Tribolium castaneum: one gene and its partner. The protein of the gene in region 2 interacts with the protein of the main gene of each other region in a biochemical or structural test. Links are inferred from orthologs where the notes say so. Each region holds a gene or a part of one and is shown on either strand. Other genes may lie near its edges.

Region 1 (8,223 bases), on a different chromosome or scaffold from region 2:
AAATAACTCGAATCTTTTTGTGGCTCTCTCTTCACTTTCCCTCTCTTTTTCACGTAACCAGGACCTTGCTTTGACTTTCGAAAAGTTTCAACGGCTTTGATTCGATTTTTTAACATTTCGGCTTTATCCTTTTGTTTCTGAGGAATGACCTCCTTTTTGTGTAACCTTTGTAGATTAACCGTCCTATCTTTGCGTTCTTCAATCTCTTTTTGAACCTCTTGGTGTATTTCTTCCACCCGCTTCTTCGACCTAACTGTGGTCGCCTTCAAAATTTTAATTTCCTCATCTTCACTCTTCTTCCCTCCTCTTTTCTTCTTCTTCTTCTTCGGTTCATCCTCCTCCTCGAATCCACCCCCTTTCCCTATCTTATCAAGAGCAGTCTTAACTCTCTTACTCATCTGTTTCTCCATCCCCCCCGAATCCACTCTATACTCAACCTTGAAAAAATCAGTAATTGCCTTCTGACTCTTACTCTCCCCCATTCGCCTCAAAATCGGATTAAGAATCTCCTCAGTCTTGGTTTTCGTCCAACCAAACTTTTGTCTCGCAAACTCCACTAACCCAAAAACGTCAAGCTTCCCCCACGTGAAACTCTCCTTACTTGTCTCAACTTGGGGCTCCAGATAGGCTTGAACGATCTGCGGATTCGGAAAATTCTCCGTGAAACTAACATTTTTCAACTTGCTGCGAAGTGAGGTCCGGCCAGGAGCGGGCATTTTTCCCTTTATGACCCAATTTTTAAACTCTGCCAAACCCGAAATGAGTTGATTTTTCGGCGGAAAAGCGGCCAAAATTTCCAGAGCCGTCACTGGACCCACCCCAGTCAAGCCAGTGGTGTAGTCGCTCCCCACCAACATGGCCAGGAGGATCATTTGTTCCCTTGTCAATTCTGCAAAAATTAAAATAAAGAATAATTACTACAACAAGAAGCTAGACTGTACTGTAATGGTGCTGGATGTTGTCCGATTTAAACTCCATCACAACTTTGTTTTGGTTGAAAAAATTCTTGTAAACGGTTTTTCCCCCAAACAACCAAATGTCGCTATCGTCGGTTATGGTACCGTCCGTGAGACCAATCAGCTCCAGGAAAGCGCACTGAGCCTCGGCCTCCATGGGGGCTATAATGTAGGGCACCCCAAATAATTCCAGGAGTTCCTGGGCTTCTTGGAACATTTGTTCAGTGATGTTTCCCGCAGTTCTTTCTTTTGTTTGCTTCTCTACTAACAGTTCTGTTTGTTCCTTTCTTAAATTGTCTCTCATTTCGCTCAGTTGCTCAACTGTTAATTCAGTATTCGCTTTGTTTTCTTCATTTTCTTCATGAGGTTTCGTATATGCTTGGACCATCTTCTCGATCTTATCTTTGAGTGACTGACCTGACGGTCTCTCTTCAATTGGTTTTTCTTTCTCCACTTCTTTAAAAGCATCTTCAGTACTACTTGAAACCTCCGTTTTCTCTTCAACTTCCTCAAATACGTCCTTGAAGAGATCGTCTTCAATTTCTTCATCTGGCTTTATCACGACCTCCATAGCAATCTCTCCGTTGGTACTTTTCTTCTCCTTTTCTTCATCTACATCTACAAAGTCCTCATCGTTGCTAGAGGCAGAATCTGACATCACCTCAACTGTATCTTCACTGACGATAGAAGTGGTAACTTTATCTTCATCTAATTCCGCAATATCTTCAATACTGTCTTTGGTAATTTCACTACAAACATTTGTACTTCCAGTCTTGTCTGTTTCTTCTGTTATTTCTTCATTATCCTTAGTAATATCAGAACTACTACCAGTTTTATCTGCTTCCTCTTTGCTTTCTTCAGGTTCCTTAGCAATGCTACTAGAAATATCAGAACTACTACTGGCTTTATCTGTTTCTTCTTTCCTTTCTTCAGGTTCTTTAATAATGCTACTAGAAACACCAGAACTACTCTCTTCACTGACTTTCTTCATTGCTCCACTTTTACTGGCAATAATTTTGGCAATTTCGCTGGGAGTCAGCCCACTGTACTCCATCATGTATCTCTGAGCTGGTGTTAACTTCGTACGAATTACTTCTTCTTCTTCACTGGAGTCCGAATTTCCAAAATCAGCATCTTCAAGAAACGATAACGACAATCGTTTCTTCCCCCTAGAACTGGACGGTTCCTCCCGATTGTCTTTCGTTTTTGATGTCGACGGTTCCGCCTCCAAAGACAAGGCTATGGCCTTCTTCAAATCGTCTTCAAATTCTTGCTCCCCTTTATTCTTCACATTCTGTCCCTCGTCGCATTCTTCGCTTTCTTCAATCGTTGGTAAATCCTGCTTTTTGGCCTCCTCCACGGCCTGCTTGATGTCTTTGATTAAAAGAAACCGCGTGTTTTCGTCCGAAGCGATCCGACTGCCTTTCAAGTTCGTTATAACCCCCTGGTCTTTGAGCAATTTTTCCAGCTCGCCCAGCGATAGAGAATGGCCCCCCATTTCTTTTTCGACGTCTTCAAGGGCGGTTTGCACCGACTGCCTCTTCAAGAGTCGTTTCATTTGATAGGTGGAGAAGTTGTCACTTTGAGTGGGCATTTCGTGGATGCGCCCCCATGAAGACTGCTTCCGTGTGTCCTTCAAGTCGGAGAGGATTTCGTGCCGGACGTCGGCCGGTAGCGACTTGAATTCGGCACTTTCCGTGTCAATTGAATGCAAGTCGTATCGGGGAAGCCCCGAGTCTTCCGAATCCGAGTCACTTTGTGACAATGTGGAGTCGAGAGACTGGGACGGGGGCAAGGCGTAAAGCTCGTCATCGTCTTGTTTTGATTTTTTAGTGGGAGAAGTTGAGGCGGTTATTGCCGCTTTGGCTTTTTCGGACAAGACTTTGCTAATCGCGGTGTGTTTGACTAAGGCTGATAGGAGGTTTTTGTGGATGCGGTCCGCCTCGGACAAGGTTTTGGACTTTTGCTGGTTGCGTAACGCCTGGGAATTTGCGGGAAAATGCAACTGAGGTTATGTTTTTTTCTCATTATTTTACTCACTATGGTTTGTCTTTTGAGAACTGGGACGCCTCCGTCGAAGACAAACACCGGCTTGATTCTGAAATAGAGTAATTTGCATACTCTGTGGTAGATCCCCAGCAGGTGCGCATGGGGGACGGCGGCCCCCTTGGCGTCCTGGAACCCCTTGACGATTTGGTGCAACCAAATCGAGACATCTGTCAGATTGCGTTAAGGTTATAACCGATCAAGCGTGACGTTTGAAATGTCAATAAAGGATACCGACAGCTAACACTTTGTTTTCGAGAGATTCCAGAGGCACGGGTTTGCCGGAAGGCTCGATGAGCCTCCACAGACCGTGAACTCCCATAATATATTTTCTGGTAAATAATTCGAGGCGTCTGATGGAAAAAATTCCCACGGTCTGAGGCGGCGATGAACGACCGCGACACGAACGTCAGTCAGTTCCCATGATTTAGATGCGAAGAATCATCAAATCAGAGGAAAACAGACCTAATCTCGTCCAGCGGTCTGAATTACATCTCTCAGTATCAAATGTTTGAGAATCGCCGAGGCCACCCACTCTTTCCCACACCATGATTTTCCCACGCCCTGGCTGTAACCCCAACATCCTGCGGGAGGGCAGGGGGGCGGCGCTAAAGGCACCTTCACAAGGGAGGGGACCCATTCATAAACACGCGGCCAGTGGCGTGCGCCCAAACGCCAATAAAACCACCACATTCTTTTGTCAGGCAGCGGCGCCGCGAACTTCCTAATACTGCTATCTTTGTTAGAACTTTTTAGTTTTCTTCTTTTTAGAAATAAACATTATTTATAATAATAATTGGCACCTAATTAGATCAATTAGATTAGGTATCAAGGTAGAAAATCCCTCACTAGGATTAATCCTCCAGTGGCGTCTCGCCTCCGCCCCTGTTGTGTCATCCACTACCGTTTTACGCGTGTTAGGTGTAAACCCGCCTTAACGCTACCAAAATTACATAATTTTCAGCGACCGCCGCGCCCGCCCCGCCCGCCCCGCCCATGGCCCATGCAGACCCATCAGCCCATCTTGGGCCCTCTTGAGCGTTAAAAAATTCCAAGAACGCGTTAATTCGGGCACTTCCTGTGAAAACTCGCCTTTTGAAAGTTGGCCATCCTGTCGGAAAATCCTCTCTCCAAACAGGTGTTTTTCGAATGAGATACGGGGGGCAAAGGAGGGGGAAGCATGGCATTTGTTCTCACCGTGTGTTGCGGTAGCCGTGCGAAGAGTTGGCTGTGAGTGCATCGATAAAACAAACGCCAGTGCGATGCGGCCTACTTGATTAAGTGTTTCGAAATGCCCCATCAGTACGGATTGCCGGGCATAGCCCACGCTCAGTCGCCCCCGACGCCGCCGCCGCAGCACGGGGCCATGTACTCGCGGTTCTCGGGGGCGGTGGTGCCCGGGGGCTACCGCGGCGAGGACCGGCGGCTGACCCGGGAGGCCATGGAGCGGTATCTGCGGGACCGGTCCGACATGGTCATCGTGATTTTGCACGCCAAGGTGGCGCAGAAGTCCTACGGGAATGAGAAGAGGTTTTTCTGTCCGCCCCCTTGCATTTATCTGTTCGGGGACGGCTGGAGGCTGCGCCAGGAGCAGATGCTGCGGGAGGGCGAGTCCGAGCAGGCCTCGCAGTTATGCGCTTTCATAGGGATTGGGAACTCGGACCAGGACATGCAGCAGCTGGATTTGAATAATGGGAAGCAGTATTGTGCCGCGAAAACTCTCTACATCTCCGATTCGGACAAGAGGAAACACTTTATGTTGTCCGTGAAGATGTTCTACGGGTCGGGGCACGACATCGGGGTGTTTCATAGCAAAAGAATCAAAGTTATCTCGAAGCCTTCAAAGAAGAAACAATCGTTGAAAAACGCGGATTTGTGTATTGCGAGTGGTACCAAAGTGGCGCTTTTTAACAGACTTAGATCTCAGACTGTCTCCACGCGGTATCTGCACGTGGAAAATGGACATTTTCATGCCAGTTCCACACAGTGGGGTGCTTTCACTATACACTTGTTAGACGACAATGAATCTGAAAGTGAGGAGTTTCAAGTACGGGATGGGTACATTCATTACGGTTCTACAGTCAAACTGGTGTGTTCTGTCACCGGAATGGCCCTCCCGAGACTTATCATTCGAAAGGTACGTTTGAAAAAAACATCAACAAAAAATTGAGGTTATGATTCGGCAACATGTCAATCTTTATATTCCCCATAATTACGCAAAGGAACGCTCCCTGCAAGCAGTTACGGCCATACCATGACCGAATTCAGACAAAATAATGATTTTCCAGATGATTCATTGCACAAAATTCGATATTTCGATACAAATGTTGACCCAGCCCGTGATTGGCCCATTTGAGAACACATGTCGGTTCCCATCCTATCAAAACTCGCCGCTCACGCGGGCGATTCGAAGCCTATTTTGGGGAAAGAAAAACCTACTAAAATAATACAAACTATTGTAATTTTCAAGAAACACAAAATATTATGTTTTTTCAGCCATTAAAATTACAAATGTGCTTTCTTAATACTCATAATAATAATTAAATATTTCACCACGTCATTGACTTTCTTATGCTGGATGTTCAAGATTTTTTTTTTTGTCATAATTTCGTCCGCATATCATTTTTAATGCCTTTAAAAAGCATAACATGCCTCTCGACAACATCAGATTTCTCCCTAGTCTTCCTACGCTAATTACGAATAAACTCTTAATACTCTTTTTCACCGACCTCATCAGAAAATATCGTAAAGAAAGAAAGCTAATTTCTCGCCAAAATGTCAGAAGAAGCCCCAAATCTTTATTTTGTTTCTACATTTGGTGATTCTCTACTACGCTCTGCAGGACTTGGAATCCGCCGATTTTGAGACACCTTGTATTTATTCTTTATCTTACTTACACTTTAAGGAACCCGTTGAAATACAGCTACATTATTATTAGAATTATTTAAGTTGTGTATAATTTGACAGTTCTCCAGTTACGATTTATCTTTACTTGGTCAAGTATTAATTGAAAAAATTGTGATTGAAACTTCCTATAATTCCTGACGGTATTTTTTTTATTTTCCACTTTTTTACGTTTGTACAGGTCATCGTATTGCAAATTTTTAACGTATTGTAATATAATTGTTCTCTTCTCTTTGTGGCGTCTTTTTTTGTTTCGTAGTTTGTGTTTTTTGGTTCAATTTTGTAAAGCGTTTGTTGTTTTGGTCCAGGTGGACAAGCAGCAGGCGCTCCTCGAAGCCGACGACCCCGTGTCCCAGCTGCACAAATGCGCCTTTTACATGAAAGACACCGAACGCATGTACCTCTGCCTCTCCCAAGAGCGCATCATCCAGTTCCAGGCCACCCCTTGCCCCAAAGAGCCCAACAAGGAGATGATCAACGACGGCGCCTGCTGGACCATCATCTCCACCGACAAGGCCGAGTACCAGTTCTACGAGGGCATGGGCCCCGTGCGCTCCCCCGTGACCCCCGTGCCCATCGTGCACAGCCTGCACTTGAACGGCGGCGGCGAAGTGGCGATGCTGGAGCTCACGGGCGACAACTTCTCGCCGTCCCTGCAGGTGTGGTTCGGGGACGTGGAGGCCGAGACCATGTACCGGTGCCAGGAGTCCATGCTGTGCGTGGTCCCGGACATCTCGCAGTTCCGGGGCGAGTGGCTGTGGGTGCGGCAGCCGACCCAGGTCCCGGTCTCCTTGGTGCGGAACGACGGGATTATCTATGCCACGGGGTTGACGTTCACGTATACGCCGGAGCCGGGGCCCCGACCGCAGTGTTTGCCTGCGGACGAGATCATGAGGCATGGGCAGAGGAGCGCGGCGGCGGCGCAGGGGCAGAGCCAGGCGCTGACGCAGGAGGCGGCGTGGAACTCGCACGGAGGGATGCATTAGGGGGTGGGTAGGTAGATGCAATAAAGTTAGGTAGGGTGTACAACGACCATTGTGTTTTTTCTCGAGTGGACACTCAGTATTAAATTTTGAGATTGGAAGTGGCACGAGTCTTCTGTATTATGATTTATTGTGATATGTTTTTTGAGTAGGCGGTCGTAGAGAAGCAAAAGTTGGTATCAATTTTTCCTTATTTTTTAATTGATGCAGTTGACCGGCCTAAGACTTGTAGGATGTGTTTCTACAGCGGTGTAAAGAGATACTTAGCCTTATGAACAAACCAAAGTTATGTAAGTTTTCTAATTGTCAGTCAGAATGAATAGTCCAACAATTTTTACTTAGTATTAAGTAAATTATGCTCAATTTGCCGATGAATAATAAATAATAGGTAATAAAAAATCTCGACAGGAAAACATGACAACAACGAATTTATGGCAAATGTAATGAGTGTAAATATCTTTATTAGAATTAGTTTTATTCTACGTAAAATAATACATAAACAAACTGTACATGCTGCATATTTTGTAGAAATAAAAACTATTTGAATAATATCACCATTCTTCAAACCCCTAACAGAAAAAAAATCACAGTGAGTACGGAAGGCCTTCCGCATTTTCACATCCATTCAAGTCAGTTCTCACGACAAAATCTCATTTTCTTGAAAATGATTATTCATACATGTGGGAATTCGGGTCTTAACAATGGTATTATTTTTAATAATTGCTTTTCCTACTGTATATTAATTAGTCGGTCCCATTCCCACAATTGAGGTGGGAATTCTCATCTCATTTGATTCTTAAACTTCTGTTTGCTCATGTAAGTGAGGGAGATATAGGGGGTCACAAGGTCGCCCAAGTTATAGCTAAGGGAGGTTTCGCAAGGAGTCTCTGACGATGGTTTTGTGGCAGTATGTGTTGCCCGAAGGGCTGGGTGACGAGGATTTTCTAAGACGCAGTTCGATTAATTGGCGATGTTAATTAAGTAAATAATTGAGTTAAGCAGTTAATGAATGAACATGCAGCAATAACAGGAAATCATATAATCATGAAAATGCTCTTGATGGCTTCACATAATAACATACGTGAGAATCCAAAGGCTATTGTTGAGACGGTGAGGTTTATTAATGGGTTGATTATCTGATTAGACGAATGAGGGAAATTGGAGGATTAAAAGTAAATCGGCGTTTGTGTAATTTTGCAATTTGCTCATTAGTGACACAAAAGAATTATAAATAAAATAGTAACTCGTATGATGAAAAGATAAACAAATAAAATCGTATTTTCTTGTAAAAAAATTGAGGCAGTAAAGTACCGTTTACTAGAGAAACTAAGGTC
Region 2 (7,743 bases):
GTGCGAACAAGGTAAGAATTTAGTGTTATTGACCGATCACCACGTACATTCGTCAAGCTTTTCTGGTCATGAATGTGAAATAAATCGATCTGTATTTGGATTAAAATTATCTCACGAAGATTTTTTTTGTAGAATTTTATTTCGTATAATGAGCACGTGAACGAGATTTTTAAGACATCCATAAATTTTTAATGACCATTCCTGTAACAAACTTTTTACTCGCGTATTCTTCATTAATCAGTAAAGTGGTGTTTTTTGCTTATTACATCTGTCAGTACAGTGGTGAACATTTTGGTTCATTGAACTTGATTTTTTTCCGAGAGAGAATAAAGGAAATGTATTAATTTTATCAAAAACTACGATGGTGCTACATAAATACAGGGTGACCCAGGGGTGTGTTATAGTCCGATTATTATAATGATAAATTGTGGGTTCGTTGAACTTTTCAAAAAAGTGTATTTTTTTAATAATGAAACCGTTCACACTCGTGTCGCAATCGCTTCATTTATTTAAATAAGAAAAACGTTCATTTTCGCTCACTTAACGGCTCCGATTTCGACGTTTTTCTTTCGAAAAAACTCTATGCTAATGGAATATCTGTTGAAGCGGAGAAACTCTCATCGCACGAAGAAATCCGTCTTAAATACACAACGAATCTAAGAAATCGACCAAGAACAAAAAAACACACAATTATTTTGCAATGTCAGAGTTTTAATTTATTAATTTTTGGTTTTGACGCCACCTACGTTCAAATTTCGGTATAAATCGATCGATTAGCGCGAAGATTAATGATCTTCCAGCGAAATAAGAAGAGAAAGTCTTGATACGAGTCTAAATATTATTCATGGACTTTGTGTTACAATTTATGTAATGATTTAAGAAGTTATTTCCACTTGTGGGATAATGACCGGTTGTTGGAATATCTCTAATAACACTACGCCACTGATGGATTTTTTGTGGTCGTTTCACAATGAAACCGATCATAATGAACAATGATGGGAAAAATTACAACATACCAACACACACATACACAATAATAATAAAACGCGAGGGTTGCAGTATAAGATGCATCTTTGGGACTTATTCGTGCGTTAAGTTTGCCATTTCTAGGGGAATTTATCGATCATATTTTCCACAACCTTTTAACCTAGCACTAAAAATTTTTCGCATAATAAAAACTACATTTTTATCACTTTTATCTTGAATCTCTTAAATTGAATAAATTTCTGACCGGACTTTTTTGTGTTACGATCGTATCTCTGATGATTAGAATCCAGATATTTAATTAGAAATTAAATTAAAACTTGATTAATTGAATTTTAATTGGGAAACGTCAGCCACCTGAATACCTCAGTGGCGTACCGACGCAAAAATTATTGGTACTGTGGTAACAATACCAAATTACCATGGCAACAAAAACTATGTATTACTATGCAGCCATTCCATGAAAAAATGGAACTATAGTGGCGGTCAGCTCGGTTTGCGTGTGCGTCATCAATTTCATTTTTTCATTACCAACACAAAGCTGTAAAAAAATTATCAAAAACAATGCAAATTTAAACAATTAAGGGGTATCTAAGGGTGGTATCCTTGAACATTAATTTACATATGCACTTCGACAACACCATCAAGTGTCACGAATTTGTCAAACTGACATTGACAGTAAATTATAGACGTCATCGCATGGTTGTCGAAAGTGTTGTCGGTGTTAATCGCAAGTATTTTCTGTTCGTTTATTGTGTTTTGTGATTTGCGTTTCGTTAGGTTTTTGATTCTGCGTTTATTAGTTCTTGTTTTGTGAATCTGTATTTTTTGTAACAACTCATAATTTAAACACTTCGTAACCTCAAAAAATATTTGATAGTTTGTCACCGCTATGCCCCTGCTATGTAAACGTAGTGACAGAAATGTCAGATGACGCACACGCAAACGGAGCTGAGCGCTACCATATAAAATAGTTATTATTTAATAGTTAAGAACGCCACTGCTTTTTGAGTTTTTTTTTCTTGTATTTTTTGTATTATAGGTTCGCCATGCGAACACGACGGAATCTGCGTTAACACCCCCGGCAGTTTCGCATGCAATTGCACGCAAGGCTTCACTGGACCACGTTGTGAGACCAATGTAAATGAATGCGAATCGCATCCATGCCACAATGATGGCTCCTGTTTGGATGATCCGGGAACATTTCGTTGCGTTTGTATGCCAGGTGAGTTACACGTAAAACTTTTTGTTGGTAGTTTTTAACGGTGACATGAACTGGAATCGAGACAATTTTGATTTCGTTTCTCGCGGTAATAATTAGATGAACTTTGGAGGCATGTGAACGATGTGTTTCGACCTGCTTTTGCGAGCTACAAACAGTATCGACACGACTTTTTGCCTACGGTGGTACGAGATATGGGCGGGATTGATCAAGCTTGGCTCTTGTTTTAAATTTTTAATGTTACGCCACTGGTGCAAATGTCAATTGTCACTGAAATATCGTTTATAACCATGGTTACGTATAGATTTCTATGGCAACGATGGCAGGGCCGACTCGTCCGGGTCGGGGAAAAAAGGGTTAATTAATTTGTAATAACAAATCAGGTTTAACCGGAAATAAGCACAGTTTTCTTGTTTTGCATAGGATACGAACTCGTAAGTCATGCCTGAAAAAATGTTGTTTCTTTGAGAAAAATGTCTCACTTTGGTGATAATTAAAGCTAGAAGAACCGGTCGATGAAATGACACGACCCATTTGAAACGTTTACATAGTTTTTTCGAAAAAATTTAATTACGTTCAAACGCATGCATTATTCAAGCGATGAAAAAGATCGCACCGTTATTATATGAGAATGAGGCCAATTATCATCATCGTTAATAAATAAAATAAATAAATAAAAATGAATCTCGAGCAAACTGAAAACCACTATGCAAATGAATTCGATGCGCTTCTCTCTCGCGATGAAATAAATTTCGAAACGAAACAACAATTCGTGTGTCATTGAACGCGGATTCTCTTCATCATCTAAGCGGCGTTTTATTCAATTACAGGTCGCGTGATGAGATTTGATTGTAATTATTCGTGGCTATTTTTTTTCTTCATTCTTTTATAAAACGTTTATTGTTGACGGAGATTTGAAACGTGGGAGGAGAAAAATACGAATAGTCGAAGAAGGCTGTGTTGGATGGATATCGTGAAAGCATAAGCGGTTGGGCGTGTTTACAAGAGAAGGCTTGCACAACAACCGTTACCGATACATAAAGGTTTATACTTAATTCATAAGATGGTTGAGCGAGGCGAAGCGAATTTTATTTTCGAATATTCCCGCCACTTTGCAACATGAGCGACTCGTCTCCAGGGTCATTTTTAGTTTTTGAATTATTGCAAAAAAATTTGTAATTTTTGTTTTAATTTTTTCAATCGAAAATTAAAATAACTAGGACATATTTTCCAAGGCGTACTTGATGTCCGAGTTACAATACTCAACTTTGGCCATATTCACTGTTTGTATTTTTTAAAAGTGTTTTTATTCCTGATTCCAACGGTGTATCATATGATATGATTGAATCTTACATGCTGATCAAAATGGCAAATAAGCATTTTTGCGTAGTCTGCTTTGGAAGAAACGTGAACAATTTTGTTTTTAAACAAACTAGATTTTAGAGGTTTAATTGAATTTGGATCTGAAAGCGATTTGATTAGCTAGAATTTTATTCTTCGCAAAATAAAACAAGACAAAGTTAAATCAATTTCATAAATGGGGAAAAATAACTTAAAAAAATTTGCAGGTTTCACCGGCACCCAGTGCGAAATTGACATCGACGAATGCAAAGATCAGCCCTGCCTTAACGGCGGTGTCTGTCATGACCTCATCAATTCGTTTAAATGTAGTTGTGCAATCGGTTTCACCGGTTCCCGTTGTCAAATCAATATCGACGATTGTGTTTCATCGCCTTGTCGAAATGGTGGCACTTGTCATGATTCAATTGCCGGTTACACGTGCGAATGTCCGCCAGGTTTCACCGGTTTGTCATGCGAAACAAACATCAATGATTGTCAATCGTCGCCATGCCAACATGGCGAATGTCTCGATGGTGAAAATTCCTTCAGTTGCACGTGTCATCCCGGTTACACCGGTTACCTGTGTCAATATCAAATCAACGAATGCGAATCGAATCCGTGCCAATATGGCGGCTTGTGTCAGGATTTAGTCAACGGTTATCAATGCCTGTGTAAAGCCGGGACTTCAGGACCGAATTGCGAGATCAACGTCAATGAATGTTACAGTAACCCATGTCGGAATAATGCAAGATGTGTCGATGGAATTAATAGGTAAGTCAACGGTTATAACCGGTTATTTCAAAACCTACATTAGAAACTTTCATGCTTCTATTCTAATATAGTTAGAACTTAAACAATTATATGTCAATTTTTTGTTAAAATTTTTATTTGCTGGAGTTTATTTTATTTAAAATGTCGTTGAATTTTTTACAATAAGTGAATGTTTTTTTTTAATTTGATAACCTAAGGTTTGAGAAAATTGTCAATTGTCACAATTCAAGGCTAATGTGATTTTTTTTAAGTTTTTAATGTAGGCCCTAAAAGAATCGCCGTGTATAACATACACTAACCGATTGATTTTTTTTTTACATGCGTACAGTAGGGAGTAAGTAGTTTTACTAACAATAATTAATGGAGTAAATACAGGAAACTGTAATGCCAATTGTGTTTGTTTTTCAGTTATAACTGCGAATGTATTCCGGGATTCACCGGCAAACATTGCGAGAATGACATAGATGAGTGCGCTTCAAACCCGTGCGCCAATGGGGGCGTTTGCATCGACATGATAAACGGTTTTCGATGCGAATGCCCACGTGGTTACTATGACGCTCGTTGCCTTAGTGACGTTGACGAATGCAATTCAAATCCATGCAAACATGGCGGCAGTTGCGAGGATGGCGTCAATCAATTCATCTGTCATTGTCTACCAGGTTACAGTGGTAAACAATGCGAAATCAACATTGATGAATGCGCGTCAAATCCCTGTCAACACGGTGGCATTTGTCACGATCATCTCGCCTCCTATACTTGCGAATGTTTACCCGGTTATACTGGCATTAATTGTGAAACGAATATCGATGATTGTGCGATTAATCCGTGCAAAAATCGTGGCACGTGTATTGATCAAGTCAATGATTATAAATGTGTGTGTGAATTGCCGTTTACTGGACGTAAGTGCGAAGATAAGTTGGATCCGTGTACACCGAACCGGTGTCGGCATAACGCGAAATGTACGCCAAGTTCGAATTATAAGGATTTTGCGTGTACTTGTAGCGGGGGTTATACGGGGCGGTTTTGCGATCAAGACGTCGATGAATGTGTGGTTTCGAAACCGTGCCGAAACGGCGCCACTTGTAAGAATACCAATGGGTCGTACCATTGCATTTGTGCGCTGGGTTATGAAGGAAAAGACTGCAGTATTAATACGGATGATTGTGCTTCACGTAAGTAAAAAATTACAGTACATCTCCACAAACATACAGGCTGTCCTTAGAAAATTAAACTTTTTTTACGAAAATTATTTTCAAGTTTACAGCGTGTTTCTAAAATTAGCTACAACACAATGGAACAACCTTAATTTTTTTGTTGAATAATTTAAAAGTTTTAAATGAAATTTCCTGAAATTATCTTTTAATTATTAACTTTTTTTTAGATAGACAATTTAATAATGTTTGAGAAGCAAGAACAAAATATTGAGTGTTCCATTTTCAAGTTATTCAACTTTTGACAAAGTTCTTATTTTTTCTGTTTCTAATTGTAATACGCCAAACAATTAGAACAGATTTAAGATTGAACTTTTCCCTTTAAATTAGTGAAAGTCCTACTTTTCTACGTTTCTCCGTTTTTGTGTAATAAATTTTTAAATGAAACGTGTTTATGTCAAAAAAATCAAATTATTTCAAAAACTAAGCCGAATCGACTAATACAAGTTGAGATTAAAATGCAATAAAATTTAATTACTGGTTTTTTAATATTGGAACATCCTGTAATACTTTAGAAACATGGAGCAGAAGAAAGTCAATATCTCTAATAATTAACAAGCTTTGGAGCTTTTTCGGATCGTTGGGACAGCCTGTACATTAACAGAACAGTATAGATCTAGAAAAATACATTAACAGAAATGTTAAACGCAGAACTGTACAAAACAGAAAAGTGGTGGGGGGAATGCACTAGCTCAACAGAGGGCGCTGTTATAGGTGGTCATGGCTTCCTAGGTATTTGGATTTTAAGTGGCTATGGTCTGAAATTTTAAAGTTTTCGAAGTTAATGGAAAAATAAGCATGCATTTTTTTATTTAAACAGAAACTAGCATTTGAAATTTTGAAACGAAAAGAGAATTTAGTACTATTTTTTTGCTTTGTTTATTGTATTTTTTATTTTCTCTGTTGTTTTTTATTGTTTTTTTGTCTTCTTTTAATTAATTATTTTTTAGAAACAGGCATTTTTTAAATTGAAAACATGGTTTGTTTTAAAATAATCAGTAATTAATAAAAGAACAGAAAGAATAAATGTAGAAAACAGAAAAATAAAAAATCGAACATTTATAATATTTAAAGCTATTTTCTTTGGGATAATGTTCGGTTCTGTCTATGACCGATTCTGTGAGTGTACTTTTCTAGTCCGCCCAACTGTTGAACTTGACAATTGCCACCTAATCTAAAATTTCCAGATCCGTGTCAAAATGGCGCCACTTGCCTGGACGACATTGGCGATTACACCTGTCTATGTGTGAACGGTTTCGAAGGTAAACAATGCGACATTGACATCGACGAATGTTTGTCAAATCCGTGTCAAAACGGTGCAACTTGCAACCAGTACGTCGATTCATACACGTGCACATGTCCATTGGGTTTCTCCGGCATTAATTGTCAAACGAACGATGAAGATTGCACGGAAACTAGTTGCATGAATGGTGGTACATGCATTGATGGTATAAATTCGTACACTTGTACGTGTAAACCGGGCTTTACCGGCTCAAATTGCCAAAATCGTATCAATCTATGTGACAGTTCGCCGTGTTTAAATGGCGCTACATGTCAAGACCATACCACGCATTACACGTGTCATTGTCCCTATGGTTACACGGGTAAAGATTGTGGGGAGTATGTTGATTGGTGTTCGACGAATCCATGCGAAAATCAAGCGACTTGTGTACAAAACAAAAACCAATATCAGTGTTTGTGCGGCGTTGGTTGGACGGGGAAGGTATGTGATGTGGAAATGGTCAGTTGTAAAGATGCAGCACTGCGTAAAGTTGTACCATTGAAAAAATTATGTAATAATGGGACATGTGAGGACATTGGGAATTCCCACCGTTGCCATTGTTCGGATGGTTATAGTGGTTCGTACTGTCAGACGGAAATCAACGAATGTGATTCGGCGCCGTGTCAAAACGGTGCCACGTGTCTCGATTTGATTGGTTCCTACTCGTGTAAATGCCCCAAAGGTTTCCAAGGCCAAAATTGCGAACTAAACGTCGATGATTGCAAACCGAACCCGTGTCAAAACGGTGGCACTTGTCACGATCTCGTTAATAGTTTTTCGTGTAGTTGTCCATCGGGTACTTTGGGTTACATTTGTGAGATTAATGTCGACGATTGTCGGCCAGGGGCGTGCCATAACAACGGTACATGTTTGGACAAAGTTGGCGGTTTTGAATGCAAATGCCCGCCTGGTTTTGTTGGCCCAAGATGTGA

The links.
Region 1: the proteins of N (region 2) and Su(H) form a complex in vitro, tested with the Drosophila melanogaster proteins (4 studies listed by BioGRID). The link is inferred for Tribolium castaneum from reciprocal best matches to the Drosophila melanogaster genes N and Su(H).

Annotation. Positions count from the first base shown.
Region 1 is NC_087398.1:4,882,612-4,890,834, reverse strand, and holds Su(H) (suppressor of hairless protein), read left to right. Parts: upstream 1-3,976; 5' UTR 3,977-4,293; coding exon 4,294-5,139; intron 5,140-6,214; coding exon 6,215-6,892; 3' UTR 6,893-7,440; downstream 7,441-8,223. Other genes in the region: DNA excision repair protein ERCC-5 homolog, read right to left, coding at 1-889, 942-2,937, 2,997-3,172, 3,237-3,324. UniProt on the Drosophila melanogaster protein: Transcriptional regulator that plays a central role in Notch signaling, a signaling pathway involved in cell-cell communication that regulates a broad spectrum of cell-fate determinations.
Region 2 is NC_087400.1:109,178-116,920, reverse strand, and holds part of N (notch), read left to right. Parts: coding exon 1-11; intron 12-2,026; coding exon 2,027-2,209; intron 2,210-3,774; coding exon 3,775-4,318; intron 4,319-4,726; coding exon 4,727-5,490; intron 5,491-6,716; coding exon 6,717-7,743. UniProt on the Drosophila melanogaster protein: Essential signaling protein which has a major role in many developmental processes. Functions as a receptor for membrane-bound ligands Delta and Serrate to regulate cell-fate determination.